Alligator mississippiensis: one gene and its partners. The protein of the gene in region 1 purifies or fractionates together with the protein of each later gene. This does not show direct contact. Links are inferred from orthologs where the notes say so. Each region holds a gene or a part of one and is shown in the gene's direction. Other genes may lie near its edges.

What was found.
Region 2: the proteins of CLGN (region 1) and SLC12A6 purify together in Homo sapiens (affinity purification with mass spectrometry; 3 studies listed by BioGRID and IntAct, with this or other methods). This does not show direct contact. The link is inferred for Alligator mississippiensis from reciprocal best matches to the Homo sapiens genes CLGN and SLC12A6.
Region 3: the proteins of CLGN (region 1) and SLC30A1 purify together in Homo sapiens (co-immunoprecipitation; 3 studies listed by BioGRID and IntAct, with this or other methods). This does not show direct contact. The link is inferred for Alligator mississippiensis from reciprocal best matches to the Homo sapiens genes CLGN and SLC30A1.

The regions. Positions count from the first base shown.
Region 1 is NC_081825.1:104,595,649-104,606,211, forward strand, and holds the start of CLGN (calmegin), read left to right. Parts: upstream 1-5,276; 5' UTR 5,277-5,366; exon of another isoform or gene 5,367-5,394; intron 5,395-10,563. UniProt on the Homo sapiens protein: Functions during spermatogenesis as a chaperone for a range of client proteins that are important for sperm adhesion onto the egg zona pellucida and for subsequent penetration of the zona pellucida.
Region 2 is NC_081830.1:36,383,625-36,394,187, forward strand, and holds the start of SLC12A6 (solute carrier family 12 member 6), read left to right. Parts: upstream 1-5,316; 5' UTR 5,317-5,453; intron 5,454-5,982; 5' UTR 5,983-6,884; coding exon 6,885-7,128; intron 7,129-10,563. Other genes in the region: NOP10 (H/ACA ribonucleoprotein complex subunit 3), read left to right, coding at 1,906-1,959, 2,439-2,579.
Region 3 is NC_081824.1:190,329,226-190,339,788, forward strand, and holds the start of SLC30A1 (proton-coupled zinc antiporter SLC30A1), read left to right. Parts: upstream 1-4,796; 5' UTR 4,797-4,965; coding exon 4,966-5,566; intron 5,567-8,849; coding exon 8,850-9,751; 3' UTR 9,752-10,563. UniProt on the Homo sapiens protein: Zinc ion:proton antiporter that could function at the plasma membrane mediating zinc efflux from cells against its electrochemical gradient protecting them from intracellular zinc accumulation and toxicity.

The DNA.
Region 1 (10,563 bases):
GGCCATAGAATTGGGCCGAATCTCCTCCGAATCGAATCGACTACCGAAGCTTCATATAGCCCTAGTGGATGTGCCTTGAGGCTTTTTATCTCCTGGTCCTAGCTATGGTCCTGTCTGTCTGAGTCTGCCACTACTCCATGGTTGTCTTTAGATATGTCCAATACTCTAATGAGTGTGCTAATATGCCCTATGTCCTAGAATTTCTTAGCGGTGATTTTTCTCACCAGTAGATTATCCTCATTGTGCGTGATTGGAGTTTCAATAACATGCACTCAGCAGTGAGGAATGGCATGTGATCAGATTTTACATTCACCTTGTGCTTGCTGATACAATCAGTCCATTCTAAAGACCACGAACAGTAATTCTTTTTCTATGTGAATACATCCTCTTCCGATATCTTTCACGGCTCTACCACCAAATGCTATGGGCTGCTGTCTTTGCATCACTGCTACTTTCAGGCTTCCTTCTAAGGCATCACATTGTAACTTTAGTTACTCAGTAGAGATGTAGTACTTTAAGACTTTACTTGTTCATGGTTTTCTTAACTCATTCAAATACCTACTCTCAGGCCACTGACCACTTCTCTAGTGCATCATTTTGTCCTAAGTGTCTCAAGGATTCACTAATAGATGCACACAGAATTTGAAAAGATAGCTGTCTTTCCTTATAAATCGCTGGACTCTCCTCACAGTCTTTGGTCTGGGCAATTACTTAATGGATCTGTTTCTCAGGGTCTGGCTGCAGTCCTTCAGAAGTCAACAGATATTGTAAGTAGAGGACCTCAGTTCTCCTGAACTTCATCTTGTCTCTTTTAAGCTAAATATTCCACTCCCACCACCTGTTTAGCTGTTGACACAGCTTCATTCCATTGTCATGGATTGTCACCTCCTTCTACAGTGAGACTATCACTACATATAACATTGGTGCCTGGATCTCCCTTCTGTACCCATCTTAGTCTCTCTACTGAAACATCTCAAGGGTCAGGCTGCTATTTACAGGTATTCCTGCCCAAAGATGTGGTAGATGTTAAGTGGTTGGATTGTTCAGTTATCTTAATAAGCCAAGACTAATTCTTAATGGCAAAACAAGCAATGCTTTTATCCTGTGCAAATAGGGTAATACATCCACAATCTTTTGATAATGAGTAGTGACAGACATCTTTTCAATGCTCTGTTCAGTAATTCGGGGTCAATATGGATCCTCAGTTTATCTGAAGGGACTTTTTTTTCTTACCCACAGAATATATCAGTAGTATGTTTAGGTTGCGCATGGCATAGGGTACAGATACCTGATCTAGCTTCAAAAGTTAGCTCTGGAAGCAACCTACCTGCAACAGCACAGACCTCCACGTGGGCTAATTCACTCTGCTTCTTCACAGGGTGAAGGAGCCCTGGCTCTAGCATCCTCCTGATGCCTTGCCCTCCAGATGAGCTTGTCTGTGGTGGGCCGAGAAGCTCTGCTTCATTCCAGCACTTTGTGCAAGTGTTGGATCCTTGTTGTTATCCAGATTCAAGTTAACTGGCAAGTGTCACTTATTTTCTTCTAATAGTTAAATCTCTGTTCCTCAATTTAACAAGCTAGCTATCATTGGTGGGTTGCAAGACAACCTTTTTTTAGCAAACTCTAGGGCTCCAGTTCCTCATTTAAGGGACTGCTCTAGCACCTGCCCTTTAGTACACACCATACTGAGATTTCTGTCTGTAAGTGCTCCAGGCCTGTTAGCATCGCCTTGCCTTGCTTCCTGCCAGGATCCCTTGGTTTCTGGTCCTTGACACCAGACCCTGCTTTGTCTCTCCTGCATTCCAGTCTCTTGCTGTAGACTTGACTTGGCATCTGACTACAGACTTTGTCCATAGCCTGGTATCTCAAGCACACCTCTTGTTCTTGTCTTCTTTGTTAGATCCTGACTTCTGTGTAATGCTAGGACCTTTTGCTTTAGAAGCTGGGATGAACTACTGTAGCACATTATAATATTCTCATTCTTATTTTTCCCTAAAGGAGACCACAAAACCCGGTATCTTCACTTTTCCATATCTATTACCTTGCATGTTCAGCTCTGCCCACAAGTTTTATTCTAATGTGCATGCTTGTACAAGGGTTTTTGGCTTGAATACTAGGATTCTTGAATATCTGAATTCCCCAGCTACTTTATATTTGTTTTTCATTGCTGCTTTCAGTTCTTTTTAATCACACTTTCTTCTTTACTGTGAATTTTACTAAACTGATGATTTCCATCATGTTTCATGTACAGTGTTCTGGGTAATAACAGTCATACAACTAAATTGATTCATCATTAAAAACTATTTATAGACATGCAGGGTAGATGCATGTTCTGGTGTCTCCCCCAAAGTCTTCCCTCTTGGAATTTGTTGTTCTAGTTGAAGTTTTATGCAATTTGCTAGAGTTACATCATTACAATGGTTTTTACTGTTAACAGTTTTTATCAATTATTCTAATGGTCTTAAATAATTTTCTAAGTAGGTTTAAGGCTGGGAATTCCCTTAGTTTCACAAAATGTATCAAAAGCTTCATGAATATTAAGCAAGAAAATGAAATATAGTGTTAGAAATCAGTGTTGTCTGGGGTTATTGGTGTCGCTGTTGCTGTCATCCTCGTGGGTGTTATTGATATGTTCTCAGTATTGAAGTCTCAGGAACTGCAGTGTCTGCAAGTCACAGCCAGGAGATCTCAACACTAATCTTGCCTTAAAGAAAGACCACAGGCTTAGTTCGGTGGCAAAGATTTGGCCAGTTTTATTGTCTACAAGCACAGCCCTAACACATTTTGGCCTAACAAGTACATCAGACCAGGACCTAAGGCATTTGTACTTGTGACAAGGCACTCAGCACACCACCACACAGACTCCCCCCAGGCCACTACAAAATTCCTCTGCTTTCCAAATCTTTTTATACAATAAGCAAAACGAATTACATATTCCATCTGTATCTTGAATGTCTCCGGCTGTCCTGTTCTGTGGGCTTGGATTAACCTGTGCCTCAAGTGGTGTCACTTTGAGACTCTCAAAGAGCACTCAGCTAGAACTAGCGAGCCTCAAGGTGTAGAGGCCCACATGTCAAGTGTCCTGAGGATGGTCTCAAATGCAGTACGGTGATTCTCAACCAGGGGGCTGGGGCACCCAGGGGTGCTGTGAGGTCCTTTGAAGAGTGCTGCAAGGTGTGAGGTGATAAGATAAAATTGCAGGCTCAGATTCAGGCTCAGTCCCTACCTGGCTGCTCCCCTTCCTCCCCCCACCCAGTGCCCAGCCTGTCCCAGGAGGTAAGCACTGCACTCAACCAGTTCCTTTTTGAACTGGGGGCTGCTCAGTTCCCAAGCCTGATTGGGCGGGGGGGGAAGGGGAAGCCTCCAGTGTAGAAGGCCTGAGCCCCGCTGGTGTAAGGTGGAGCTTCCCCCAGGCAGCAGCCTGCAGCAGGGGGACTCATTGAAATCCTGAGGGCCAAGCAGGGAGCGATAGCGGGTCCAGCCCATTCATAGCCTAGATCAGGGGGTTTTGAATGTGAGGCTGCTCACAAACTTTTTATCACCCAGTGGGCCGGCCAGCCAGATTCAAAGACATCACAGGAAGTGGTATCATATCAGGAAGTGATGTCACGTGACCTTTGACACCAGTGAAGTTGCAGAGGTTGACATGGTGCTGGTTGATATGGCATGCGTGCCCAGGTTGACATGGTGCTGCAGGAGCCGCTTGGCTACAACCGGGTTGACCTGGTGCTGGAGAAGTCAGGGGCCAGGCCAGGGTTAACCTGGGGCCTGCCTGGCCTGCCAGTGCCATGCCTGGGTTGATATGGTGCTGCAGGACTGGCCTGGGCAGAACCGGGTCTGCACCGGCCAGGAAAAGCAGCATGCAGCTGAAGCCAGCTTCCCATGTGCTGCTGGGGACAGGATGTTGCACAAACGGCTAGTTTCATGCCCCTGGAGGCTTGTCCAATCCACCCCAGGAGAGAGTCACACACACAGGCTAGGTCCAATTTCAGATTTATTGTTTGCAAACAGATTGACCCAGGAGCTGAGCTCAAATCAGAGTCGACCACAAATTGTGTCTGCAACTTCTTTTTATAGCCAAGGTAAACAATAGATTTCAACGTATCGTGCAATTATTGGCAGACTTAGCATTACGTCTTGCATCGTATGTCTAGCAGTTACATGTTCTATGACGGTTTACATACATGTCTCATTTACATCTTAAATCCCCTCCCAGGGGCAGTTCTTAAGCTCCTCTGGTCATCCTTCGGTCAGGGTAAAATTTCTTAGCATCAACATTTTTCCCTGTCACTCTTCGCTTATCTCTTGTAAGGAGTTATTTATTGCATCCGTTCCTGGCTCCGTCTGCAGAATTTTAGTTCTATTCGTAAATCAATTGTTAGTCTACTTGTCTTAGTGATAAGTGTGGAAGAGAGAGTGAAAACATGCGGAGTGCATAAGCAATTACAAAAGCAAGGTGTATAGATTATGCTGTATTTTTACCACAAGGAGGAGGCCGGCCAGGTCTGCATCGGCCAGCAGAAGCGGTGGTGGAGCCGTGTGCCGCTCGGGACTGACCGGCGCAGGCTCGTCCCGTCCCGAGCAGTACACGGCTCCGCCACCGCTTCTGCTGGCCGATGCAGACCCGGCCGGGTTCCTCCAGTCCCCAGCAGCACGTGAGAAGCGGCCCCCTCAGGGCCTCGCGAGCTGGCGGCCGGGCCGGAGAGCAGCAGCGCGGTGGGGGGGGGGAAGAGCTCGTCGGGGGAGCAGGCGCCGCCTTGCTGTGGGGCAGGGCAGGGCAGGGCAGGGCAGCGGGGCTGGCTTGAAGCGGGCGGGTGACGAGGCAGGCGTGGGCCGGCAGTGGCAACGGCGGCTGCTTGGCCTCCGCATGGGGCGGATCCCCCCGGCCCCGCGGGGGTAAGCAGCTCCCTTCTCTTTGCTGCCGGCTGGGGCCGGCCCTGCCCGCCTCGCCGCGGCCCCGCCGCCGCCTCGGGCCAAATAAAATGGCTTGAACAAGCCTGGCCTAGAACTTGACTGAATCTCTGCGCTTGCAGAGACGCCGGCCCACAATTAGCTCGCTCAGCACGCCTCGCGTTCTGACAGCTGCGGACTGAGCCGCGATTGGCCGCGGCTAGACGCCACGCTGCCCTTTGATTGGCGCGAGTTCTCCCACCTCCCCGTGCGCCTGCGTTCCGATTCGCTCGGCCTGTCAGTGCCGGAGGCGGATTGGCTACGGCTTCGCCCTACCGAGTCGTCTGATTGGCTCGGGTGGGGAGGCGCGCGCGCGCCACAGAGAGTACCTGCTACTCGGCTGCAGCATCCCTCGGAGCTTTGGACAGGTGGCGCATGCGCGGTTCGCGCTGAGGAAAAGCAGCCGGGCTTTGCCAGTGAGCGGCTTGCGGGACTGGTTCGCCGGTAAATCCGCGCGGACCCGGGCTGAGGTGGGGGGAGGGGGCGCGACGCCGTGTGAAAGGGGCACGCGGGCAGAGGCAGGAGGACCACCCTCACGGGGACGTTTGCGTAGAGGCCTTAATCCCAGCGGGAGGCGGCCGCCCCTCCCTCTCCCCATTCCCCTTCGGCGGGGGTTACGTGGTGCGACCGTTGGGAGCCGTTGGAACGGGGTGGCCCAGAGCGTTGTGAGCCCGCCCCCCTGAAGCGGGGGCTGGTGTGCGGCACGGCCGTTGGGGCAGTTCGAACGCCGCGGCCCTGAGCGTTCTGAGCCCGCCCCCCCCCGCGGTGGGGGCTCGCGCAGGACCCGGCCCCCGCTTCCGCCCCCCGCCCCTATAGTGGGAAGAGCCTTCGCGCTCAGCAGTGACTAGCTACTTCTCGTGAGGGGCATAAGCAGGACCCCCCTAATTCCCGGCTGAGGAGCAGCTCTCGTGGGCTGGGGAGTGCAGAGGGTTAATTCGAGCCCATCGCTTCTCCTGTCCCCGCTGCTAAGCGATGAGATCAGATACAATCCGTCCCCCGGGGAGGGAGGAGGAGCCCTGGCTCTAGCATCCTCCTGATGCCTTGCCCTCCAGATGAGCTTGTCTGTGGTGGGCCCAGAAGCTCTGCTTCATTCCAGCACTTTGTGCGAGTGTTGGATCCTTGTTGTTATCCAGATTCAAGTTAACTCATGGTCCCCCAGCATCCTGGGGTGCTCTGCACCTCCCTCACAAACCCCACCTCACAGGGTGGGCGGGCTAGCATTGGCCTAAGCTGTCTGCTCCAGTGGAGCAGGGAGGCATGCTTTAGGCCCCCCCCCAGCCTGTGGCCTGGGACACTGCAGGCATGTGGATGCATTTCCAGAATCAAAAGTGAATGTCTGTTCACCTGCTTATCAGTTCAACCTACACAGCTTAGGCTAAGCCGCAAAGTTGAATTGATTCAGCCTCGGGCTTTTTGACTGTCTGTGCTTAGTTTGGGGGCTTCCGTGGTGCAGCTTTAGAAACCCAGTGACCAGAGCTGGCCTCATGAAGAGGGGCTGCCAGACCAGGCAGTGCTGAAGTAAAGCTCATGTTTTTTCTTGACAAGGAGCATAGTGTTTCACTCCATTCTTCATTGGAGATTGCAGCAAGAGAAGGTGAAGCACGTGTTTCTGCCACAGGCACTCAGAAAGGGAAATGCCAGTGAAGTAGCTGTTCCTGGGTATTAATTTGGGAACAAAGAGAAGGTGCCAGTGGATGGATGGAAGCTCAGGTGGAGTAAGAGTGAGCTGGTGCATAAGCCGAGACGGAAGGAGGAAGTGTGGATGTAGTCTGAAGGGCATTGTGTGTAACCCTGGGAGACCCCTAGAGAGTGGTCTTGTGGGCTTGGGAGTAGGCTGGAAGAGTTTTAGAGCTGTGAGCAAGAAGGCTCTGGTGGTTTGGATTTTTTTTTCCTGTGCTTGGAAAAGATTTGATTGCATTCTTGTAAATAGAAGTACATGAAAGAAACCTGATTCTGCTACCAATCACTACACCTCATTGGAATAATTAACAAGGCCCACATTTTGTTTAGCTGCTCAGCTAAAAAAGGACAATGCTAGCAGTCTTGTAAACTGAGGGTTGAAGGATACTAGGGTTTAATGGTATTTCTGTGCTGCTTTAACAGTGAGCATGGTCGCTGCCCTGTGTGCACCCAAGCCCACAAACTGTGTCACATACATGGCTCAGGAGTGGCCCTGAGCATATGCCATAGTGCCACACTTAGACCTTCTTAAAACAGCCTGAGTATGGTGCTGGGACTTGTGCTTAGGACTATTTCTGAGGCATCTGTGCTACGTAATTTATGGGCTTGCATGTATATATACTGGGCATAGGTAAGTATGGCTTATTTCTCACTGATACTCTTGGGATTGCTTTGGAGGTGGTATAGATGTATCCTAGGGACCCACTCTAGAGAAGAGAACTGTAGGAGTTGCCCTGCTTTCCATTAGAATTTGCTCTTATCTAGGTGAGATTAGTTCAGTCAAGTTGTCTGGATAGGTTCATAGTTTTCTCTTAAAGCTTTTGTTAGCCAGAGCAAGTTTACTGTAAGTATAAATGTAATCTAAAACAAAAATCCAAGTTTCACTTCCTGTTAGGTGGGTAAATAATGCGTCCAAAGCTGAAGTTAACCATAAAAATAATGTTTAGGGCTGCTTGTGTAGAATGTTAGGGCACCTATACATGTGCATTAAGGCTGCTCTGATGTGTTGTAATTACAGTGCGTTTGGGGCAGACTCGATTAATTGAGTCTGCTGAAGTGTGGTAATTACCGTGCTCCAGTAGACTCCAGCATCATGTGTATCAGTGTCCTCGCATGGAAAAATGGCAGTGGGGTGCTTTAACTAAAGCTTTAAGACAAGCTTTAGTTGAAGTGCCCTCACTGCCATTTTAAGCACAGAGATGCTGATGCATGTTGTGATCCGGGAGCTTTGATTAGAGCGGCTCTTGGAGCCATTCTAATTAAAGCACCCTGCCTCCTGGAGCATGTACTTTTCAGGGGTGTACTTTTTCCAGATCCTGACAAAGGGACTTTGATCCCAAAAGCTTGCAGAAAAGGACAGTTTTCTTTCCATTTTCCAGTTGGTCTAATAAAAGGTATCATTTTGGAACCAAGAGTTCTAGTTTTTTGTATGCCTTAGATCCTACTGTCCTCTCTACAACTCACTGTCCTTCTGAGTCTGCCCCGTGGTTTAACCACTTAGACCCATGACTGACGTTACTTTTGTCACGTGTTATGTACAGTATTGCACAACAAATTATAATGTGCCAGGTTTATCCTTGCATAAAATTGGTGAATCGGCAACAAAGAAGTTGGCTGTTGAAGCAGAAACATCTTGTGGTGCAGAAGTATCCTGCAATATTGTGTGGCCAGTTGGCATGTTATGATTTGTCATGCAACGTTTGCATACGATATGCAGCAAATATAACATCTGTAGGGGCTTTATGCTCTGTTCCAGTTCTGCTCAAACAGGATTATAGGCTTCCTCAATCAAAGTCTCTGGAAGGTAGTTGCAGATAAATTGCAACAAGCAACTGTTTGACAACTGAGGAGGGCCTGCCTTCTTTTTTAGTCCAGTAGCTTAGTGGTTCATGCACTTCTCAAGGGAGTAGGAGGCTCCAGTTCTTCTAGTTCTAGGCCCTTCTCAGTATCTTTAACATAACCACTAATCCATGGGCTAGGTAAAGCCAAGAGTGTCTGGCTCTGCGAGATGGACAGTATTGTGTAGGAAATGGTACTTTGTTCTGGCCCTCACTGCATATTTACAGGAAATAGATGTTGAATAAAATGCATAGAAAGCACTGGGAACAGGAGTAGCTTCCCTTCTCTTCCCTTCTTAGCTACCCAGACCCTCAATTATCAGGTTACACAAAAGTGAAACATAAAGAATCATTCTGTATTTACCAAGCCCAAGACTGCAAATTTAAGACCACCACCCCCTCCCACAGTTATTAGATTCTAGACATGGAAAAAATTGTTTTAATTCTTCATGTCTAGAATCTAGTTATTGGAGTGTCCTCTTAAATTCACCCCACGACCACCAGCGTTACAGGAAAAGTGGGGGGGGAGGGCAAGCAGCCTGCCCCACACCACTTGTCTCCCCCTGCTCCCCTTATGCCTGCCTTCCTGCTGGCCGCCTCCACCCCCCAATGCCTTACCCCCACTTCCATTTAGAATCATAGAAACACAGAAAGTTAGGGTTGGAAGGGACCTCAGGAAGTCATCTAATCCAACCCTCTGCTCAAAGCAGGGCCTCCCCCAACTAGATCATCCCAGCCAAAGCTTTGTCTAGCTGGGTTTTGAGAACCTCCAAGGATGGAGCTTCTACCACCTCTGTGGGTAACCTGTTCCAGTGTTTTACTACTCTTCTAGTGAGAAAATTCTTCCTAATATCTAATCTCAACTTCCCTTGCTGCAACTTGAGACCATTGCTCCTTGCTCTGTTGTCTGCCACCATTTAAAACAGTCTAGCTCCATCCTTTTTCAAACCCCCTTTCAGGTAGTTGAAGGCTGCTATTAAGTCTCCTTTTCTTTAGACTAAATAAGCCCAGTTCTCCCAGCCTTTCCTCATAAGTCATGTCCTTCAGCCCCCTCACCATTTTTGTTGCTGTCCACTGGACTCTCCAATTTGTCCACATCCTTTTTGAAGTGGGGGATCCAAAACTAAACACAGTACTCCAGATGTGGCCTCACCTGTGCTGAATAGAGGGAAATAATCACTTACCTTGACCTTCTGGCAACACATCTATCAATGCAGCCCATTTTGCTGTTAGTCTTTTTGGCAACAAGGGCACACTGCTGGCTCATATTCAGCTTATTGTCCACTGTAACCCCCAGGGGCTTTTCTGCAGAGCTGCTGCCAAGTGAGTCAGCCTCCAACCTGTACCGGTGCATGGGATTGTTCCATCCTAAGTGCAGGACTTTGCACTTGTCCTTGTTGAACCTCGTGGGATTCCTTTTGGCCCAATCCTCCAATTTGTCTAGATCACTCTGAATCCTAGCTCTACGCTCCAGTATATCTACTATTCCCTCCAGCTTGGTGTCATCTGCAGACTGGCAGAGGATGCAGTCTATGCCATCTTTCAGGTCATTTATAGAACAAAACTGGCCCCAGGACTGACCCCTGGGGCCCTCCACTTGATGCCAGCTGCCAACTAGACATTAAGCCATTGATTACTAATATACCCCTTCTCAGAGGTGACACGTAGGGGGTGCATGTGTAGCCCCTGAGCATAGTGGTGCACCCCTTGCAAAAAGGCACCGCTGACAGTGTGGGCGGTGCCTACAGGTGGTCACTGTTCACCACCCTTGCACTGATACCGCTGGCGGTGTCTGCAGGCAGTCTACTATTGCCGTGGGCGGTTGCCGCTCCTGGTCAGTGCTTGCTGCCACTCCCCCCCCCCAGCCGCTGACAGTGCTGGTGGCATATGCAGGAGCTCTGCGTTTATTGCCTCCAGCACAGTGGTGCCCCCCCCAGCCACCACGGGCATGCACCGTTCATATCCCATCTTGTACCTGCCCACCGCCTGCCTCTTACCTTTGCAGCTGCTCTGGCTCTGGCTCTGGCTCTGCTAGGGGTGTGGAGCCCCTGGCTCAGCCAGGCAGTAGTGGTGGCTCTGGCTTCAGCTTCCAGCC
Region 2 (10,563 bases), on another chromosome or scaffold:
GGCAGGCAACCAGGGTTTAGGAGGCTACAACTCCTGTGTTGCACTAGGGTATTAGAGATTTACAACTGTATTAGGGAATTGTAAAAAGCAGGCTTATTCACATGGCTTTGTCCCCTCCAAGAATGAATCATGGCCTGAAAACAACTCCCAAAACAGGTGGGTAGCAGAATCTACAGCTGCCATCCAACGTTGAACAAGAACCTACATGCCCTAGGGTACACGGGGGACTTGAGAGGCTGCAATTCTCAGACTGCAGGGGCACAGCTGAGCCATTGAAAGTCCTGGAGCATTTAGGGAGTCAACATGAGGAAAAAGCCTCAGGTTTCCGGACTAGAGAGCAAAGTGTGGAGCCAGAGCGCATGCATTTTAGGAGATGAAACTGCACATGGAAGATATCGAATTTTGCCATTTGAACTGGAAACTTCACAACATGAAGAAAAAAGAAGCTAACCTCAACAGCGACATCTAATTTATATTCTCACTGACCTCCTGTTGCACTTTTAGCTTTTTTCATTCCTTAGAGATCTCAGAACAACAGCTGAGTCTCCCTATGCCTGAAGAAGGGTGATTGCGCCCAGAAGCTTGCAAAGAACTTTTTTCTAACTACTCAGTCTTTTATCTAATAAAAGACATCACATTGACCCAAAGAACCTTGCCTGCCCAGGTCCTTGAACAGGCAAGGCTCTTTGGGTAGATTTGATATCTTTTATTACACCAACTGAGTAGTTGGGGAAAAGTTCATTGCAAGCTTTCAGGTGCAATCACCCTTCTTCAGGCATAGGAAGTCTCTGCTGTTCTGAGACTCCAAGAAATGAGAGAAGCTAGAAGTGTGGCGGGATGTCAGTGAGAACGTAAATAGGTAGAAATCAGGAAAATAAAAGGTAAAGCAGGGAAGGGTGGGGGGAGGGGGGCAAAGGTGAGTAAGGGGGTGTAGGTTGTAGCCATGTTGGTCTAAGGACGCAGGCAGACAAGGTTCTTTGGGTAAATCTGATATCTTTTATTAGACCAGCTCAAATAGTTGGAGACATGGGCGACTGGTGCCACCTTTGTGGAGGGGGGGCACGTGCCCCACCCTACGACCAGTCCTACCAACTTGGGGTGGGGGAGGAGTCCCCCCTCCACAAAGGTGATCTCGCTACCGGGGGGGCCCCCGGAGCCGTTCCTGTGATGGCCGATCGCTGTGCTGCAGCCTGCAGCAATTGGCTGGTGCTTTCAGGGGGGTACCTGCTCTCCGGCCTGCCCCCACACCCATCACTGAAGTGGTGAGCACAGCCTGTCAGAGGGTGCACCTGCGCTCTCGGGGGGGCACGTGCACCCCCATGCACCCTCTACCTGTCTGTCACCACTGACTGGAAAAATTCTTCTTTGCAAGCTTTCAGGTTTACCCTTGGCCAGGCTGAGGAAGCATCTGCAGTTGGTGTGTGCTCTTCCTGGATGGAAGCAATAGTAAAGGAGCCAAAGGGGAATAAGGGAGACTGCAGTCATACAAGGCAGAAAAGAGGCTGTCTGTACAAAAGGAAAGAGCTGGAAATTTGGAAGACAAAGGGCAGGACCCGCCTAGCTCCTTAGACCAACACGGCTACAACCAAGACCTCAGGCCCTGGAGAAACCCTCGGCAAGCAGATCAAGTCCCGCGTTTGGAGGACCTGCAGCTTGGTTTGGCGTGTTCATTTCCTGGCCAAGCACAACGTATTTCCAGAGGCTGAGGCAGAAACGGGGCGCTGGGCGGGCTGCCCGGGACCGGCGTCTCCTACAAGTCCCAGAGTGCCCGGGGAGGGGAAGGAGAGGCGGCCGCAGCTCCCGCCCCCCCCGTGCGCCGGGGCGGTCCCCGCTGGCAGTCGCGGGAGCGGGCGCGCTGGGAGCACGTGTGCGGCTGCGATCTGGGGCCGGGTCGGAGCCGGAGCCATGTTCCTGCAGTACTATCTCAACGAGCAGGGGGACCGGGTGTACACCCTCAAGGTGAGCCCCTGCCGCAGCCCCGGGACCTTTCTCGCCTTCCCTTATCTGCCCCAAGATCTCTTCCAGCCTCCCGCGCACGTCCTGTGCAGCCGGGGCCGTGTGTCGCTCTGCCCCTGGGTGCAGGTTTGCATCCCCCTGGTCGGGGGAGGCAGGCAGTGGGACAGCCCAGGGCAGGTGGGGCAGGGGGGTTGTGCCCCAGGGCTGGGGTGGGACCTGGGGGTCAGGATTGAGTAGTCATGGCAGAGTTGTGCCCGTGGAGCTCAGGGCTTGGGGGGGCAGCGAGTTGGGGGTTGAGTGACATGCCCTCGCCACCTGGGTGGAGGCTCAGAGCTGGGAGAGGAGGTGGCAGTGAGTGAAGCACAAAAGTGGAGCCGTGGGGGGTGGGGACGTCAGGGTGGCCAGACTTGGGTATTTGTATTTTAGGACCCAGTTGCCGTGACCTGGTATGATATCATCTCTTTCCATTTCCTTCCCTGTAGAAAGTAAGCCCCTCTGGCCAAGTGACTTCCTCTGCACATCCTGCCCGCTTCTCCCCAGATGACAAATACTCCCGCCACCGGGTCACCATCAAGAAGCGCTTTGGCGTCCTCATGACACAGCAGCCGCGGCCCATTATGTGAGGGCAGGCCTTTTCCCAGCTGGAAGCACAGAAACGTGCCCCTGACTGCCCTGAAATGGGACAGTCCTGCTCAGCTGAAGCTGGCTCAGTGGCTCCCTCTGCACCAACTCATCTTCCACTCCTTTGTTTATCCCTCTCCTTGTGATCTGACTGCTGATCCTAAACACATCCTAAAACCTTTCCCCATTCTCCTCTTGTCTGTGGAAAAACTGCTTTGATTCCCCTTTTGATCAAGCCAGAGTTAATCACTGTAGTTGAAAACATGGTTTGTCTTTTGATTGCCAATAAATTATCTGATGTTTATTTCTACCCTTAGCCCAGACTCTCCTTCCCTGCTGAGCTTTTAACCCTCTAGTAGTGGTGAAGCTGTACTCATTTGTTTCATGCTGTGCAGATGTTCATGTTGTGTTAGGAACTTAAGCATAACAAGGGAAGGTTTCTGACTAAGCTTTCATTGTTTTAGTAGGGAAGCATATTCATCATATTAGAAATGTGAGATGGCCTTTATTAGATGTGGGGGAAAGCTGCATTCAGGGTCTGATATGGGATCAGGTGGTTGGGCCGCATGGCAGGAAAGGTGGGGAAGATTCTACAAAGTGAAAGAGAGGAGACTGCAAGCTTGATGGAAGAGAATAAGCTTGAGTCTCTGCTGCTCAATTTGAGAGGGAAAGATACTGAATGCTAGTATCCCAGCACTGCACCACTCAGCTGCTTAGCTTGGCATTCAGGACTGGCATCAGTAGTGTAACTAAAGCACCCACTTAAGGAGTGCAGAAATAATACTTACCACAGATGCTGGCCCGCCATGCCACCAGCAGCCTAGCCGCTGTCTTTGACTTGTGCGTTGCTGGTGCCCAAGGTGTCACACCCATGATAACTCTGGGGGCTCTTGTTTATCCAGAGAAATATAAGACAACCCAAAGCAAGTTCCTTTGAATGATGCACCAGTTTATTGGGATATTATCAACCTATCAAAATTACTAATAGTGGCTATATGCAGCAGAAAATACATAGATATACTCAGTACTAAGCAGCGAGCTCTGAGGGCCCTCAGAATCCATCCTTATAGTTGAAGCAAGTTCCAGTTTCCCACACAAATGCCTTTGTGTGGAGGAGTTTTATACAGCTCAGATTCAAATTTCTGTATTCCTGCCCATTTCTCTGCGATAACTCTGTCTTGGCCAATCACGTAGGGAGCAAGGAAGCTCTGAGTCCTGACCTGTGACTGCTGTTCTTACCTGGAGTCATCACTTGGTGTTATCACCTGCCTAGATATCTCAAGTGTAAGAGTGATGTAGCTGTGATGGTCCAGAAATTATGCGAAAGGCAAGGATTTCTTAGGGTGAGATCTTTTATTGGACCAATTAAAGATCTCACCTTAAGAAATCCCTGTCTTTTGCATAGCTATCTCAACACACTTAAAACTATCCTGTTTCTCACATACTAATCACTGATTCAGACTGGACTGCTTTTGGGATCAGTCTACCCGGAGAAGGAATGTCATGAGACCCAGCGCTGGGCAGTTTGGGGCCTCGGGGCTCTCCAACAAAAGTGCAGGGCTGCCTTGTTAACACCTCTGTTTGCTGTGACCTATTTGGGACTGCCAGCACTTGAGGCTTCTGTACTCATTGCTATAACACGTAGGTTGGTTTTTATTTCCGCGTTTTCCCTTTAACCTGGGATTAGAAATGGCTGAAAAGGCCATTTTATGCAGCACTGAGAGAGATTAAATCGGAGTTTACTGAATCAATGTCCATTCATTTGTGGCTGATGAAAGAATGTTGTATGGGCAGAGTTTGGAACAGAACCCAGTCAGCTGTCCTGTTGCTGCTTTAACCACTAGATATTACTCCCCTGCTAGAGCCAGCCATAAAATCTAGGTGTGCCCTCCCAGGTCCCTGCCCTGACGTCAGAGGCTCATCCCACAGCATGGGCTGCAGCCTAGGAGTCATGACTTCTGGACCCCAGCAGTAACTACTAACTAGATACTGCTTCCCTACCACAGCTTGGAATGCAATTATAATCCTTCTTCCCACTTCTATCTTTTCCTTTTAGCTGCAAATCAGCTCTACTCATTTCAGAGACAGCAGAGAGTTCAGCATACTTTCACTGAAGTATGTGATGGATAAAGGTCACTGAAAGTTTGGGCTGTGCCTACCACCCAGAGGCCTCTTAAAGAGCCCAGCACTGTCAGATCTGTGCCAAAGAGGGAGTCACTAGTGTCATAATTTATACAGAGAGGCCACAAAGATGGGGATGTTCATTAACCCGAACCACTGAGAAATCCTGGGCCTGCTGCGCAGGCACCAGCACCCAGGACTCAGCCGGGCCCAGGGAGGCGGACAGGCAGGTGCCTGGTTTGCAAGTGCAAATATCAGCTGTCGCCTCAGAAGAGTCCCAGGACTCTTTGTCAGAGCCTTTGGCCTTTGGTCTTTGTCAGAGCAGGTGGACACAGAGCAGGGACAGCCAAGCTCTGCAGGACACAGGACCACTGGTCTGACACGGAGGCCCCAGGGCCTTGGCCAGGTGCCACACACAGCCTTCTGCCCCGGGATCATGAAGGGAAGGGCGCTGAGCTGCGCCCCTATCCCTCATTGCTCCCCACTCCTCTACGTCATCGCTCTTCCTGCTGAGGCTGACCTCAATGGGAGGCTAGAAGACATCATGAGTCCTTCCGGTCACGAACTACAACTCCCAGCGGCCCCCGCGGCCTGCCCCGCCCCGCCCCGCCGAGCCGGTGCCTGCGCGTGCGCATGCGCCGTGGCGGGCGGGAGGGTGAAGTGCGACTCTTCCAGCCCCAGAGCCCTTGCACCTGGCAGCCTCTTCTTCTCCCTCCTCCCCGGGCGCGGCCTCCGGGAGCAGACGCCGGTCCAAGGTAAACGACCGCGGCCCCTAACAGCCTTTCCCGCCTTTTTTGGGGGGCCCTATTCACGGGTACAGGGTTGGTGCGCATGCGCAGCTGAGCGTTCTCACCCCCTCCCGTTCCCCTAATTTAGTGGCAGGCTGCGCATGCGCAACTTGTCGCCCCGTCTCAATGGCAGGTGCCTGTCTCTCCCCATTACAGAGCAGCAGCTGCGGCATCCCTTGCAAGGCCATGTGCTGCCATGGATCCCCTTGCCACCACTGTCTGGCCCCTGCAGCAGGTCCGCATGGCAGGGCAGTGTTGGCCCCAGGCTTAATGCTGCCCCACCCCCCTGCCCTGCCACCTTGACCCTTGCTTGGTTTGGTTTGGCTTGGCTTGGCTTGGCGATCCTTGGGCTGCCCCAGTTTGCTGTAGCAATGGCACTGAGCTTGGAGGGGGCGTGCACATCCCAATACTGTGGGCTAGTGTGGGTGAGGCCTTGTCTGGTGTCTCCTTGGACCGAGCGCTCTTTAATAGCAACCTTCTTGTCCCATGACCCTAGGGAAAATCCAGCTGTGTTAACCTTGGGAGCTGGTGGAACTGGAGCATCGTTGAGTCACGGGGACCTCGTGGGCATTGCGTGGAAGAGTTTTTGCCCGGCGGGAGGATATTCAGCTGCCAGAGCCCTGAGGGATGGTGGCAGTCCTACTCCAGGACTTGGGATATTCAACCTTCCAGCACACTTTTTTGGTGCATCCAAAGTGCAAGGTGTATTAGCACAGAGTGCTCTTTGGGACCTGCTGGCGTACTCGCTGTCCTTGCTCGCCACACCAGAAATCGGTCAGTGATTCTCCTCCTCGTGCTCGGATCACTTGGTTTGCTTGGTCTCTTCGCACATTTTGCACCAGGACTTGGTGAAACCTCTTGTCTTTTTTTGCACTTTCACATGTTTCTAACCAATGGACCCCTCTTCAAACCAAATCCCTTTTTGGATATTTACCCAAAAAATAATTATTTGCATCAGGACGTGAAAGTTTCTTCTTGCCTGTTTTGGCACTGGAAGTCTGCAGAGTAGTAATAGTAACGGATTATCTGTGCAAACAGTTTCAAATCAGGAACTCTGACAAACAGCTCACTGAGTGAATCAGATAGCTGTTGATTGATTTACTGGGTAAACCATGGGTCAAGCCCTGCACTCCCTTCTTAGCCACACCCATGGAAAATTCACTTGATAATCAAGAGGTGTCTGGACACCACATAGTAGCAGATCACAGGAGATCCATGGTAGACATGCATTTGCTGTATGGTGGAACTTCTTGTTATGCAGTTCATTTTGCTACCTTCTTAAATTATCACTTCTTTTTTATTTATTAAGATTTCTGGATGATCATAATTTTAACATTTCCAGGAATGTATTAGATTGTTCCACCACCCTCCCAACAACAGCAACACAGTAGCTACACAATGGCTTCTGTCCGGTTCATGGTGACCCCTACGAAAATCGATGACATCCCAGGCCTCTCTGATACCAGCCCTGACCTCAGCTCCCGCTCTAGCTCCCGGGTTCGCTTCAGCTCCCGGGAGAGTGTTCCTGAGACAACCCGGAGTGAGGGCATGAGTGACTTCTCTGTAGCGACTACATCACTGGCTACGGTAGCAGCTGATCCAGCTAGTGATAAGATATCCAACCCTCGTGATGTGACAGAAGGTAAGAAGGATGTAGATGTTGATGTATGCGAATGAGGGGACTGAAAGTTATGGATGGTATTAATGCTTCTGGGTTGGCTTGGGCTTCTGTTGGACGTTAGAGGGAGACTGCTTCTGTATTAATTAGCAGTAAAGGAGGATGTTCTGTGGGGATGTAGAATCTGTCCACCTCAGTTTGTGCATACATTGGAAGTGGAGGCATGTGTTTTATGATAGCAGTGGAGATTGATCAACAGCTCCACCTTTAGTACATCCATTTGCTAGTTATTTTGTGGGCCCTTTGGAAATAGCAGACCTCTTCCAGCTACACTAGGGCCACTTCTTGGTATGTTGGAAATGCAGTGAGCTCTTTCAGAGCTTTGGGGTTGTATCCATTTGAACTGATGGCTGCTTTAGAGTTGATCACATTTAGGGTGGATGGTATGTTGCTATGACTGTTCTCCATAGGTAGTGGCATCTCACCAGATCTTCTGGCCACATGGAAACTCCTGGAATATCATGGAAGAGCAAAATACTTGCATTAAAGGCCAGGCTGGCACTGTGTTTGTGTTTCCTGGGAATGGGTGCCCACTTAGAGCTTTTCAGTTTTATTAGTGAGGTGACGCCCTGCTTGAAGATAGAAATAGCCATGTGAAGTCTGCATTTTCAGTGCATTTGTGGTGTTGACTCTGAACAGCTAAACTTGGTTCTGCTTTTCTTCAGACTCTTTTCCTATATTGGGAAATGCTGTATAAAGCCCGGGGGAAATGACTTAGGGGAATCTCGTTTCCTGTAACTGTGTTGACTTCCTTTTTATTGAAAATCTAGCCATAACTGGCTGCTAAGAGTCATGGCTTCTATTGGGATTTTTAGATAAAAGTTATGAGTTGGGGTTTTTTTTAGCTATTAATCCTGAGTCTCTTAATTAGGCACTGTGGCTGCCATAATGATACTGCAGGTAGATGAGTGCCTCTTTTTGGTGTTAAAGAATATGTACAATGAAATGCATCTGTCTTCTTAGGTGGGCCAGCAGCGTAACAGCAGCATTATATGCGGGTAGTTCCAAAATGTGGAAATCAGGAATGAGGCAGGGCAACTGGTCTACCAGTCACATTACCTTGGGTACATCTACCAGGGATATGGATCATCACACTGACATGGTTATGCTGTGTCTAGCACCCAAGCTGACCTGCTACTGCCCTGTCCGGTGCAAACCTGAAAGAAAGCAAAGGAGAACTCTGTGTTGCATTGAAACTGTAAAGTGGGATTTAGGGGAAGCAGAGGTGGGTCTTTAGACCTGGGGCACTCTGGCCGAAGTGTCAGGAGGTCTTCTACAGTGGTCACAAGCATTTGGGTCCTCATTTACACATTTTTCCTTGTGCCACAGAGGGAACACTAGGGTCATCTCTGACTGAGACAATGGTAACACTGAGCTGTCTTTTGCTGTTTCTTATTCTCCTTGAGCAAGCCAGTTCTGCTGTTGGGCTGCAGTCAGTTCTCCCAGAGTAGAAGAACTTTGTAAATGATTTTTTGCCTTATGAACCAGTAACTTTCACTTCCCAGGGACCAGGTTGGAGCCAGCATCCCATAAAGGGGAAAGTTCCATATCCCAATCCAAATCAATACTTTCCCTGCCCCCTCATTTGTCATCTTTTTGAACTAGCTCTTGTTTTCCACTTCTGGACTGAATTGGAGTCATCAACTCACAAAAGGAGAAGTCCTGTGTTCAGACTAATGGCATCTTAGTGACTAGGAAATGTGAGAGGCAGGGATTTTTGTGGGGGATATTGATTATTGCACCAACTCCATGGTTGGGGTAGACTTAGACAAGCTTTTGAATGCTGCACAGTATACTTGAAGGGAGGGTATTGGCTAATGTGGTCAGGCCTGTGTCCTTTCAGTGTTCAGCTGGGCTGAGAGCAGAAGTTGCCCTTTGTGCTTTTACGTATTACATTCCCTTGCCCTATTGTCTTGTCATCCCTTCCTCCCCCCCCCCCCCTCGGCTTTTTGCTGAGGCTGCCTCATTACAAAAGTCTGATCTTCAGCCTGATGCAGTCTGCTTGTCTCTGTCTAACCACACCACTTCCTGTTTTGAAAGCTTTGTCACAGTTTTCTGCAATGTTTGTGATCAAGGGCCTAAGGTGATTGTCCTTGGGTTAGGAAGGGACAGTTAATTGGTTTGTGGATGTTGTTATTCTCCAACTCAATCTGCTCATCATGGGTGCAAATGCATTCTCTTTTTTAAGTGATTGTCCTGTGTGGGTTTCTTAATTCTGTCCCCCCACCCCATGCACATAGAGGTGGGGATGCACATTTGCAGTGCTTGTAACACTCACAGTTATACATTAAGATAGTGCCTGTAATCTTATCTCATGCATTGGGGCTTCGGCCAGTCATCTGCAGGAATCATGAAGGATTTGTTTCCCCTGATGCACAACCATGCATAGAGGTCTTCTGAATTCTGGAGGGGGGATGTCCTTCTTTCCACTGCTTCAGGGAAAGGTAGATCTGCTACAGTAGGATGTGGGATATTGGGCTGAGGCGGTGGAGAGAATACGTTCTGTGATGCCTATCTTTGCTGTCTTGCTCAGGGACACATTTTGGGGTGGAAAGGAGTCTTTTTTTTTTTTCCCCCATGGCAGATTGAAAAACATTTTGGGAAAGGTATTTAGCTTTCCTTGCAGTCTAGGGTGTGAATCGCTTCTGCCAAGATTATCTTCCATATCTCCCCTGATTAATTTCCAGCCTTCTCAAAGGGGCTTTGGAATTGGTGGCACTATTCTTTGTCTGGAGCACACACTGTAGTCTCCTGAGTAGAGGTGAGTGTCTTTCTAAATCTGTAGACTTGGCATAGGGGTGAAACATGATGACTTCTGTTTTAGAGGCAATCAGACTAGGAGATCTTGTGGTTCCTTCTGGCCTTAAAGACTTTAAGCAGCATCAGTACATTATCCCCAACTTTCAAATTCAGCAAACTGGAAGTTGTGGCAACCATGTTCTTCACAAGGATCCTTTTAGTTGTCATCAGTGCCTTGTGATGCAACAAAGCTGCTGCTGTGGGAACTGGAGAAGATGCATGTGTGAATATGCATGCCCTGAAGGGAGACCAGATCACATACGCAGTCTGTACTTCAGAGACATTATATCCCTTGTACTTCTATTGAAATCCCTTGTATTTGTCTCTCTCAGTATGGCAGTTGTGCATTTTCAGCTACCATTTATTTTTGCAGAGCAGAAGAGAAAGGGGGAGAAGTGATATTCCTGTGCCTTAGATTCAGACATTTGAGGCAAGCTCCTACTTTCCTAAACATGTATGTGAGGCTGCCTTGGGAGGCTTGCTTTTTTTAAAACCTGCTTGCAAACAGACACATACCAAAGGCCTACATGATCCTAAATGTATCCACATATCCATGCAATTCTGTGCAAGGAGAACTGAGTTAAGCCTAAGATGAGGCCC
Region 3 (10,563 bases), on another chromosome or scaffold:
TGATTATGCTGCCTGATAATCCTTTTTCATGAAAGCACAACTATCTTACTAATGAAATGGTCCTGGCTTGCCATCACTATCTATCTGATAGATCCTTTATGTCAGGAGTGGCCAACCAGTGGCACAAAGGCCACCAGGGGCCAGGGCATCCCATTTGTGTGGCATGCAGCAGATTGGGGAGTGGACAGGCAGCACAGTGACACATAGAAGTAGGAAGCAGAAAGCAGAGCAGAAGGTCATGCAGGGAGCATGGGGCAGAAGGCAGACAGCAGAACAGCAAAGCAGGCATAGGAAGGGGATTGGAGTGGCACTTAGGGAGGGCAGAGGGCTAATTTGTGATGCACCTGTCAAAAAGGTTGGGCCCCACTTCTTTATATAATGATGCCTTTGGTATCTCCACCCATAGACTCAGACCCATCTTCCTCTTGTTTTTTCTTTCCAGCTTATGCCTGTATTTTGTTTTCTAGATGTTTCTACTACCTCTGTGTACATCCTTCTTGAGTCAGTTTCAAGTCCCTCCTTCATCTTGCACTATAACTCAAGGAATATTTTATTCCTTGACATGTTCTTCCTCGCACTGCACTGCTATGTTTGTTTTCTTTTGGATTCTGAAAATTTGCCAGGTGAGACAGGAAGTCATCTCTGGAGCTCATCTATTACTTTCTCCTTCAATGATAAATTCATCTCAAGACGCAGGGCCCACACAAAAACCCATGCACCACAAAAATACAATCTAGAGTGGGTCAACAAATGGAAAAATAATTTTATTACAGAATTTGAAGTTCATGGTTGGCTGCTTGATTCACTGTCACAGTAACAATCACAATAATGATGTTGTAGGGTCTAGCAAAATGAATATAGGTTAGTGTAATGGAATCCATACTCTCTGAACAGTCTGGGTAAAGGTACAATAACAGTAATGATGTTGCCTGAATTGGGGGTGGATAACTGGACTGGGGTTGAGGGAGGATCTCAGACATGTAAGGTTAATGTGATTTTATTTGGAAATGCTTGTTCATTCCTGGTCCTTCCAAGCAAAAGAGAATTCGGGATGGTTATATTAATCTATCTAAGCATAATACTCATAGTTAGGTTGTTGGCACACAGAGTCAAATAAAAACAATAGCAAGAAGTTCCTCCTTCCACCTCCAGCTTTCCAGGAAACCACCCCTCTGAGCGTAGAACTAAATGAGGATGGAACACTGACATTCCAGGTGATTCATAATGCAACTTGAAAAGGTTAAAGATTCTCTGGATTCCTTCTCTGAATTGGCTCCTATTTTACTTCCAATGTCAATTCAAAGCATTAGTCCTAACTGTTGAAAGGGTTCTGGGACAAATCATCTCTTCATTTATGAACTACCCAAGAACCTATAGTCCTTTGGGGCAGTGGAACAGGGTGAAATTTTGAAGGGACAGAAACAAGATCCGTGGAGGACTGCTGTCTGTGGAATGAATTATCAGAAGAGGTTGGATTTAAGTATCAGTTTATTTCTTACATTTTGGAGACCGTGCACTATAACATGCACACTTGTGAAGTCCCAATAGAAAGGCCAACACTGAATGGCCATGGGAACTGAATTTTGTTTCTTTCCAAGACTGTCCCTTCTACACATTTTTCCTCCCAATTTTTTCAGCATAGTTGGCTAGTGAGTCAACATATGATTTTCCTAAATAGTGCAATCTGTTTCCACCAACCATGATGCTAGGATGTTTGCAACAAGGAGTAGCAGGTATCTAAGCTTATGATAGGATAAGGATAGAACAGTTTCTTCAGCCTGTGTAGGATTTAGTCTTTGGATCTGGCAGGTGGAGGACTAGTAAACGTATCTGGTACCTGATGGGGCTTGGTTGTTTGCTCCTTCTGGCTGAGGATCTCAAACAGTCTTCTTGGTGGGTTAGAAGAGTTGCTGATGGGTGAAATAATGAAAACCATGTCTCAGGGGATTATTACCAATAATGTATTTTTCCTTTTCAATTCCTTGATTCAGGAGAAACAATAAAATATTACAAAATAGTTAAGGCATGAAAGAGAGAGCTAGAATAAGAGTAAAGTAGGGACAGCATTTTAGGAATGATTATGGTGACCAGGGACCAACAGACAGATCCCCATAGCAACCAAGTCTTCAGCCTGTTTCATGGAGTCCAAGCCTCCAGTCTGCCTCTGGTTAAGTCTTCAAACATCTGCAGTAGCCTCTGTTTCAAGACATCCAGATATATCTACACCGCATGACGCAATGCTATTCAGAAGTAGCCAAGTGAGGCCTGGTAAATGTAGTACTCTGGGTAATTTAATTTGATTTCTCAGCAGAATTCGTTGAGAGCTAGTTTGAGTGTCTCTGCAATCTCTACACAGTACCATGCAGTGTACACAAGTGGATCTCAGATTGGCCTCTTTAGTTGTCTTTTGACTCACCAATGACTTCCTTATTTAGTGGATGAGCATTGAGGGACTGCTGCTGCTGCCAACTATGCAGGGTAGATGTACCTGGATGTCTGGATATGAAAGCAGGGTGAATTACTTTGAGTGGGCTGTTCTGCTGCATTGCTTGTGGTATACAAGCTCAGATACACCTGCAGTCACAGTGGCTGCATCTACACAAGAAACTGACTGTGCAGTCATTTGGTACTTGTATACACAAGTACTAAATGACTGCGCAGTAACCGGAACTACTGCGTAGTAGCATCAGGGTTTGAATTATGGGAGAGCTTGGGGGGCCCCCCATAAAAGACGAGAGCTCCCCTGTAAGATTTGAAAATCGTAACCTGGGGGTCTTCGATTTTATTAGGGCATCTGATGGGCAGCCCAATTTATTTTCCAGACCCCCACACAAGAGTCAAAGTGTAATTCAAACCCTGAGTAGCAGCCCTGCATGACTTTGTGGTGATGTTGACTGCCCTGTGACACTACTGCTCAGTAGTAATGAGCTACTGTGCAATCAGCGTCTTATATAGATGTGACCAGTGGGTGTGTTTACATATGCGCAGTAATTTTGATTACTGCACAGTACGATCATGCGTCTACATGTGCATGCCTGTACTGCGCAGTAAATCTAGGGACTTACGCTGACTTGGGCATAAATTTGATGACTGCATGATGCGGGTATCAAATTTACACCTGATTAGTTACTGTGCAGTAATGCACATTTGGACATCTTACTGCGCAGTAACACTGTGCATGTGGACTGACTTGGGACTAAATTTAGGCTTTAACGCCTGCATGTGTACATGCCAGCCTATTCCCACTTACCACGCAGTAAATTTAAGCCAGTATAAATGCATGTGTAGGTATGCCCACAGCACAATGGTGCTGTGTCACAGTTCGTGCCCTATGACACTACTGCGCAGTAGTAACAAGTTACTGCACAGTAAGCATCTCCTGTAGACATGGCCAGTGTGTACAGGTTTCCCTTGCTTTATGCGGGTTTTGTATATGTGAATTCGCTTTTATGCGATGACCCTTTTTATACCAAAAATTCATTATATGCGAGGTAAATTCACTCTTATGTGATTGTTGTGGTGGAAGCCTGCAGTCAGCTGTTGTCAGGTGGGACAACATTGTGGGATTGTGGGAGCGACGCGCACCAAAATATAGTCTCCTGTGTGGATCTGTGCTCCTCGCTCGTTGTCTACAACATGTGTTTCTGTAGTTGCCATCCCCATTATGGTAGTGCCCTGTGCTTATGTGTACTGTCTGCTGTTAGTGAGTACCAAAATTGTCCTGTAAAAGTGGTAGAAATGGGGTTGGGGGTCAGCACAGTCGAGATCTTGGAACGTATCCCTATTTGTTATACTGTAAAGTGGGTTCCCTTTATGCGACTTTGAGTTACACGCCGTTTTCCAGGAATGCGTGTACAGCACAAAGCGAGGTATGTGCCTGGTCTGAAACCTTAACTAACACAAGGTTGCATCAAAGGGGCAAGACTTAGCAACCTACCCGCTGGGTGAACAGGGAACGCTTTCCTCCAGTTCCTTCTTCCTCCCTGGGGAAGGGTTTAGCTTTCCAGCAGCGATTCAAAGGCAGGAGGGCTGGGACCCCCGGGGGGGCGGGCCAACAGGCTCCACAGGGCAAACCCAGCCACGGCCCCTAGGACCCCCGCAGAGGGAAGCTTGCGCTGCTCTGCCCCGCAGAGACACGGTGGGGGTGTCACCACAGGAGCCACCTGGGAGCAAAGGCTGCTGCCCCCAGACCCCCAGGGAGGGGGCAGGATGGTGCCCCCGACCCTGAGCCGTGCCCCGCCCCCCCGGGATGCTGCGCGCGTTGGCGGTTAGAACGCGCCCCTCCCCCACGCGCGAGCGGCGGGGCGGGGCAGGGCTGTCACGCGTGGGGCCCCGCTCCGCTGCACTCAGCCAGCGCGGCGTGCACACGAAGCGAAAGCCTTGCGGTGGGGGGAGGGAGGGAGGCTCAGCCCTCCCCGCCCCCGCCAGCCCGCTTCGCTGCGAGACTGGCGGAGAGCAGCGGGCGGGGAGGTGGGGGGAAGCAGTACAGCCCGCCACACTGGGCCGAGCCGGGGCGGGCGCTGCACGCGAGGAGAGGCATCCCCCGCCTAACTACCTTTTGCACCAGTCCCGCAAACCGGCCTCCCGCGGGGGCGGGGCCGCGGCGGCGGGCCCCGAAAGCGGAGCGACAGGGGCGCGGGCCAATGGGCGGCGCGGCCCCGGCGCTGGAGCGCCGTTCCTCCAATGGGCGGGCGGCGCAGGGCGCGGCCGCCGGCTTGTCGTGAGGGGCCGGCCGCCAATGGTAGGAGGCGGGCTCCGCCCGGCGACCGGCCGGGCAGCCAATGGGAAGCGCGCGGGGCGGGCTGGGGTTCCGTGTGGAAAAGATGTAAGCTGGCTCGGGTGCAAAGTTTGGTTCCAAACCGTCTGCAGAGCGCGCGGGCGGCGGCACCGGCATTCCGCGTTCGGCCCCAGCCCAACCGCCGCTCCGGTCCGCTCTGCTCAGCCTCCAACGGGCGTCCGGGCGGGATGGCGGGCAGCGGCGCGGGCGAGCTGCGGCGGCCGCGGTGCCGGCGGGCGCGGCTGCTGTGCATGCTGGCGCTGACGTTCGTGTTCTTCGTGATGGAGGTGGTGGTGAGCCGGCTGACGGCGTCGCTGGCCATGCTGTCCGACTCCTTCCACATGCTGTCGGACGTGATGGCGCTGGTGGTGGCGCTGGTGGCCGTGCGCTTCGCGCAGCGCACCCGCGCCACCAAGAAGAACACATTCGGCTGGGTGCGCGCCGAGGTGATGGGCGCGCTGGTCAACGCTGTCTTCCTCACGGCGCTCTGCTTCACCATCCTGCTCGAGGCCATCGAGCGCTTCACTGAGCCACACGAGATCCAGCAGCCCCTCGTCGTGCTGGTGGCCGGCGTGGCCGGGCTGATCATCAACCTGCTGGGGCTCTGCCTCTTCCACCAGCACGGACATGGCCACAGCCACGGCCATGCGCACGGCGCTGCCCCGCCACCGCCACGCGCCAAGCTGCAGCGTTGCCCTGGTGAGGGCGATGCTGCCCTGCACAAGGAGGAGACCAACATGCTGGTGGACAACTACAGCGGCCCCAACGGGCTCAGCCAGGAGCAGCTGGGTGAGTCCCAACGGAGCTGGGGGCTGCACCCCCTTGGGGGACAGGGGAGAGGCCCTCTCCTGTCCCCTCCCCACACTTGCTGGCAGGGGCTGGGTTAATGTACAGGCAAGCCAGGCACATGCCTAGGCCACTAAGTGAAGAAGTGGCCTGGTTGTGGGTCTCTTACACATTATGATTGTTGAGTGACAATCAAGTTGGGGTGCACAAGTTCGTTTGCTGAGGTCCTGCTAAAGGGTTCACATGGCCCTGGGAAGGGGACCAATGATGTCCCGGAGCATCCCAGCACTTCTGGAGCTTGCCCAGGCACTGGCGGGAAGAGGGCAAAAGACCCCTGGTGGGTGCGGGTAAATGTGCCCTTTGCCTAGTGGGGTGTAGGAAGAACATACACCAACTGCAGATGCTTCTTCAGCCTGACGAAGGGTGTTTGTACCCAAAAGGTCACTAAGAAGATTTTTTCCAGCTATTTGAGTTGGTCTAATAAAAGATATCGGATTTACCTAAAGAACCTTGTCGCCCTTTGCCTAGTGGTTTTTCTTCGTGTGACCTCACCTAGCAGGGTTTTTTTTGTTTTTTTTTTTAAGGGTTGTCTCCCCCCCCCGAGTTTCAAAGAGCTTTGTAAAGGTAAAGAGAAACAGGTGGTTTCTCCATTTTGTAGCTGGAGGCACTGAGGATTTCATGATGCATTTGTAAGTCTTGCGGGGAGTCCCTTGGAGCAAGAGGCAGCTGTCTGCCACCTTGCACATCCCAAACTGCTGCCCTGCTGTGCTGTGACCCGGCTCCAGGCTGGGCAGCATATAACCCAGCACCTCTGTCCTGATACTCAGGGCTCTCCTGGGGATTGGGACTGGCTACATACTTGAGAAATTGCCACTTCCCTCATGTTCACGGTGGGCAGGGTGTTGTTCCAGGGGAGCAAGAAGATGTCCCCCAGTTGCGGGGAAGCTCATCTGTGCAGGAGACAGAGCTCTGGCAGGAGCTGGATGCAGACCGCACAACTTACTTCTGCAAGAGATAAAGCTTCCAAGTTTCTTCTTAGCTATGTGTTGTGTGTGCATGGGTTTGCACATTGATAGATGTACACACACGCACACTTTCTCACATCCACATACACACAGGTATGTGTATGTACACAACATCAAAGTTGTTTAAAGCTGTTCCTTCCACAGATTCTGAAAGGAAAATGATCTTGTTAAATGCTTAGGACCCATTCAAATGCTGCAGGGGCAGGGACCATACAAGGATGTGTAGTCACTTGGTCAAGGTCAAAAGCAAGTTGTCAAATGAGTTCAAGAGAAGTGAATTGCCCATTGCCACTAGGCAGTACTGCCTTCCTACCCTGAAGGAGAAATAGGTGTTGAAGCCCTGATGCCTTACAGTGTTGGGATAATGTAAGGAGACCATCAATCCTGATCAAACTGGGTTGGAGACGTACAGGAAACTTGGCTACAATTGCTATTTTTGTATTAGCTAGGTGAGTGATTCACAGAGTTGTTAGTACCATTCATTCATCTACATTCCGTATTGAGCAACTTCCTTTTCTGCTTTCTTTGCCTACTTGGTGTCTTTTTAATGGTGCTTTTCTTCCAGACATGGCAGGGACTTTTTCTATTGGAGATTTCCAGAACAAGAAAGAAAATACCTGATCATTACCAAATAGTGTTGTGTGTTAGTTTTCTAAAGATCAGTTTTGTGAAAGTATAGGAAAATTATGGTACTGATCCTAACCTGACCCTGAAATAAGCCGCTTTAATTTTGCATCTCTTCCGAGGTAAGTATCCTAGTAATTAGTTTGAAAAGATTTTAAACCGGTGGAAGATGTCTAAATGAGACATGGCTGTGTGACAAATACTTCTATTAGAGAGGGACTAGAGTTGCACCCTGGCTAGAGTTGTGACTAATTTTCCATTAAGTGTTTTTGTTTGTTTTCATTTGTTTGTTTTTTGTTGTTGTTGTTTTTTTTTTGTTGTTGTTTTTTCTGTGTGTTTTTTTTTGTTTTTTAAAGTAGGTAGCTTCAAAACTTAACAAGTTAGCCTGAAATGTCTCATGGTTGCCCCTCTGGCAGAGAATAGTGTTTTAGGTAGCAGGATAAGCAGTGGAGTATATGTGAAAGTTTAAATAGGTGGTATACCGTGTTATGCCGGTCCTGGAATCTTCAGTAAGGATGCCAAATTGAGAACTGCAAATGAGAACTGGTTCCTATGTCTATTTTTGTGAATGGTAGAATTAGCCATAGTTAGACTCATTGATGTGTTAGCCATATCAAAATATTACAGACCAGAGTGCTTCAATATACAAGGAAACACGGTGAAATGATACCCAGTGGTTGTATCCCAGGACTGAAAACGGCGTAGGCAGATGGACTGTTTTTCTTGAAGTGGGGGAAGAGGGCTGCCACCTGTTAAGTGTATTCGAGCAGGCATAGCCCAGATATCTGCATCTCTGCCTGAAATGCTTAAAGGTGATCGGCCTCTAGTAAGGTTTTAAGCCTCAGTTTTTTGAAGACCTGAAGAAACTCGTTTCAACTTACTCTGCTATAATTTGTCCGTGATAAAGGGAATGTTCTTCTAGTGAATGTGACAGGAACTTAAAAGTCAAATTGGGTTTCTGGGGTATAGGTTGTAATTATTGGAACTAAACTGATCTGAGTTCCAGCCTTATGCATTTATGTATCTGTCTTCTAAAGTATGTGGGTCATATACTGTTTGGATCATTGCATTTATTCAGTTGTACATGCTCCAAGGGACACCTCCTCCTCTCCCCCCCAAGACATAGGGATGTATCATGAAATTCCTCCATTAGATGCCTCTAGCTACAAAATGGAGAAACTACCTGTTTCTCTTTCAGTTGTGGGAAACATTGCCATGGACTTCAAAACAAAATAAGTAGTACTCATGAAGCAATGTGCATGTAGACTTCCATCAGGCATTGAATAGAAAAAATGCTTTCAAAGCTTTTTTTATTGTATTTAATTTCTGTGCAAAATGTGTGCTTTTCTGGGTCTTGAGCACAATCATGAATTCCATAGTTTATATTTACATAATATAAAAAGTAGGGGTAAGATTCAGACCAAACTGAATTGCTAAGATATAATCTATAAATGAGTGGCAGAGGATTTAAAACATCCATACAGAATCAGTTTTTTCATTACAATAGTTTGTTTTGGGACCATAGTTTCCAAATTTTATTGCAAGTTAAGCCATGAACTCATAAATGTTCAGTCTATAATACCCTTATTTTAATGATGTAGTGAAATAGTGTAATCATTGCACTGCTTTCTTTGCAGGTGATATAGAGAAAGATGGCAAGGATGACCTACAAATGAATGGGAATGCTGGCCGTCACTCTCTGGACATTGATGTTGAAGACACTAGTGGACAACTTAACATGCGTGGAGTTTTTTTGCATGTTCTTGGAGATGCATTGGGGTCAGTTATTGTGGTGGCGAATGCCTTAGTATTTTACTTCGTTTGGAATCCTTGTCCCAAAGATGGGCCCTGTGTTAATCCTTGTATCAATAGCCATTGTACGGAAAATGCTACTGTAGCCCCATCACTTTCCACAGTTAGCCCTTTGGAGCATGTGGCTGGTCCATGCTGGGTACTATATTTAGATCCCATTCTTTGTCTGATGATGGTGTGCATAATCCTTTACACAACTTACCCGTTACTTAAGGAATCGGCCCTTATCCTTTTACAAACTGTTCCAAAACAAATAGATATTCGTTCTTTGAGCCTGAAGCTGCATACACTTGAAGGAGTTGAAGCAGTCCATGAATTACATGTTTGGCAATTGGCAGGCAGCAGGATCATTGGCACTGCTCACATAAAATGTCATGACCCTGAATCATACATGAAAGTGGCTAAGCACATTAAAGAGATTTTTCATGATGAAGGAATTCATGCTACTACCATTCAGCCTGAATTTGCCAGTGTAGGCTCTGAATCAGGTGTAGGCAATTGCGAGCTTCCCTGCAGAACTCAATGTGCTTTGAAGCAGTGTTGTGGGACATCAGAAAACAGCGCTGAAAAGGAGATGGAAAAATCGTCTACAATTGGTATTTCATGTTCAGAAGTCATCACTGATTCTTCACACAGCAGAACTAGGAGGACTAAATCTGAGAGTATACCTGCTGTTAGGCTAGAGGCAAATGCTGACCAAAACAAACAGTTTGAATCATCTTTATAATTCCCAAAGTGGTGCTGCTTATATTTTGATGGCTTCACCCACAGCATTGTTGCAAGAAGAAGAGACAGATGTTCTGAGATACACTACTTGGCAAACTTGTATTTGCTGATGTCCCTATTCTTGTCACTTTGCTAAATCCAGAATACTTGTTTTAAGGAACATGATCATGTATCATGACATGATATGCTTGTGTTGACTGTGGTGAATGAGTCAGAAAGTGCACCAATGTTGTAACAACTTCAGAATGCCATTTCAGCCGAGACGACACTTTTTGTTGCACTTCAGATTTAAAATATCTCTTCCCATGAAAAGTTACTTGAGAGAAGTAAATAGGAACTTAAATTGTGTTACAAACTGCTCATTGGAGCTACTTTTTTCCTTTAATATTTGATTTGTAGATATTTTAATATATTTTTTATTTAGAAAACATAAGGAAACCAAAGTTCATAGATTTCTTTTTTTTGTTAAATATAACTACTTAAAACTGGAAACCACTTTGTTAGTTTCATGCATTTTCCTTAAACTTAGAAAATGAAAAATATGGACACTTTTCTAATGGATTTATTACATAACATATTTAAAAAAAAAAAAAAAAAAAGGAAAAAAGCATATCACATGATTGTTAGAAAGTGATCCATGTTTTCTCATGGGGGCTGTGAGGTGATTAAAAGTGGCTGCTTGTTTAAAAAAAAATTGGTCGCGAAAGGTATGTTTTGTTAAAGTATAAATTCAGTCTGCTATGTAACCCTCTTAGGCTGTGTAATTGTCAGAAAAATAATTTATAGTTTCAGTTACCACTTTATGAATTAGTC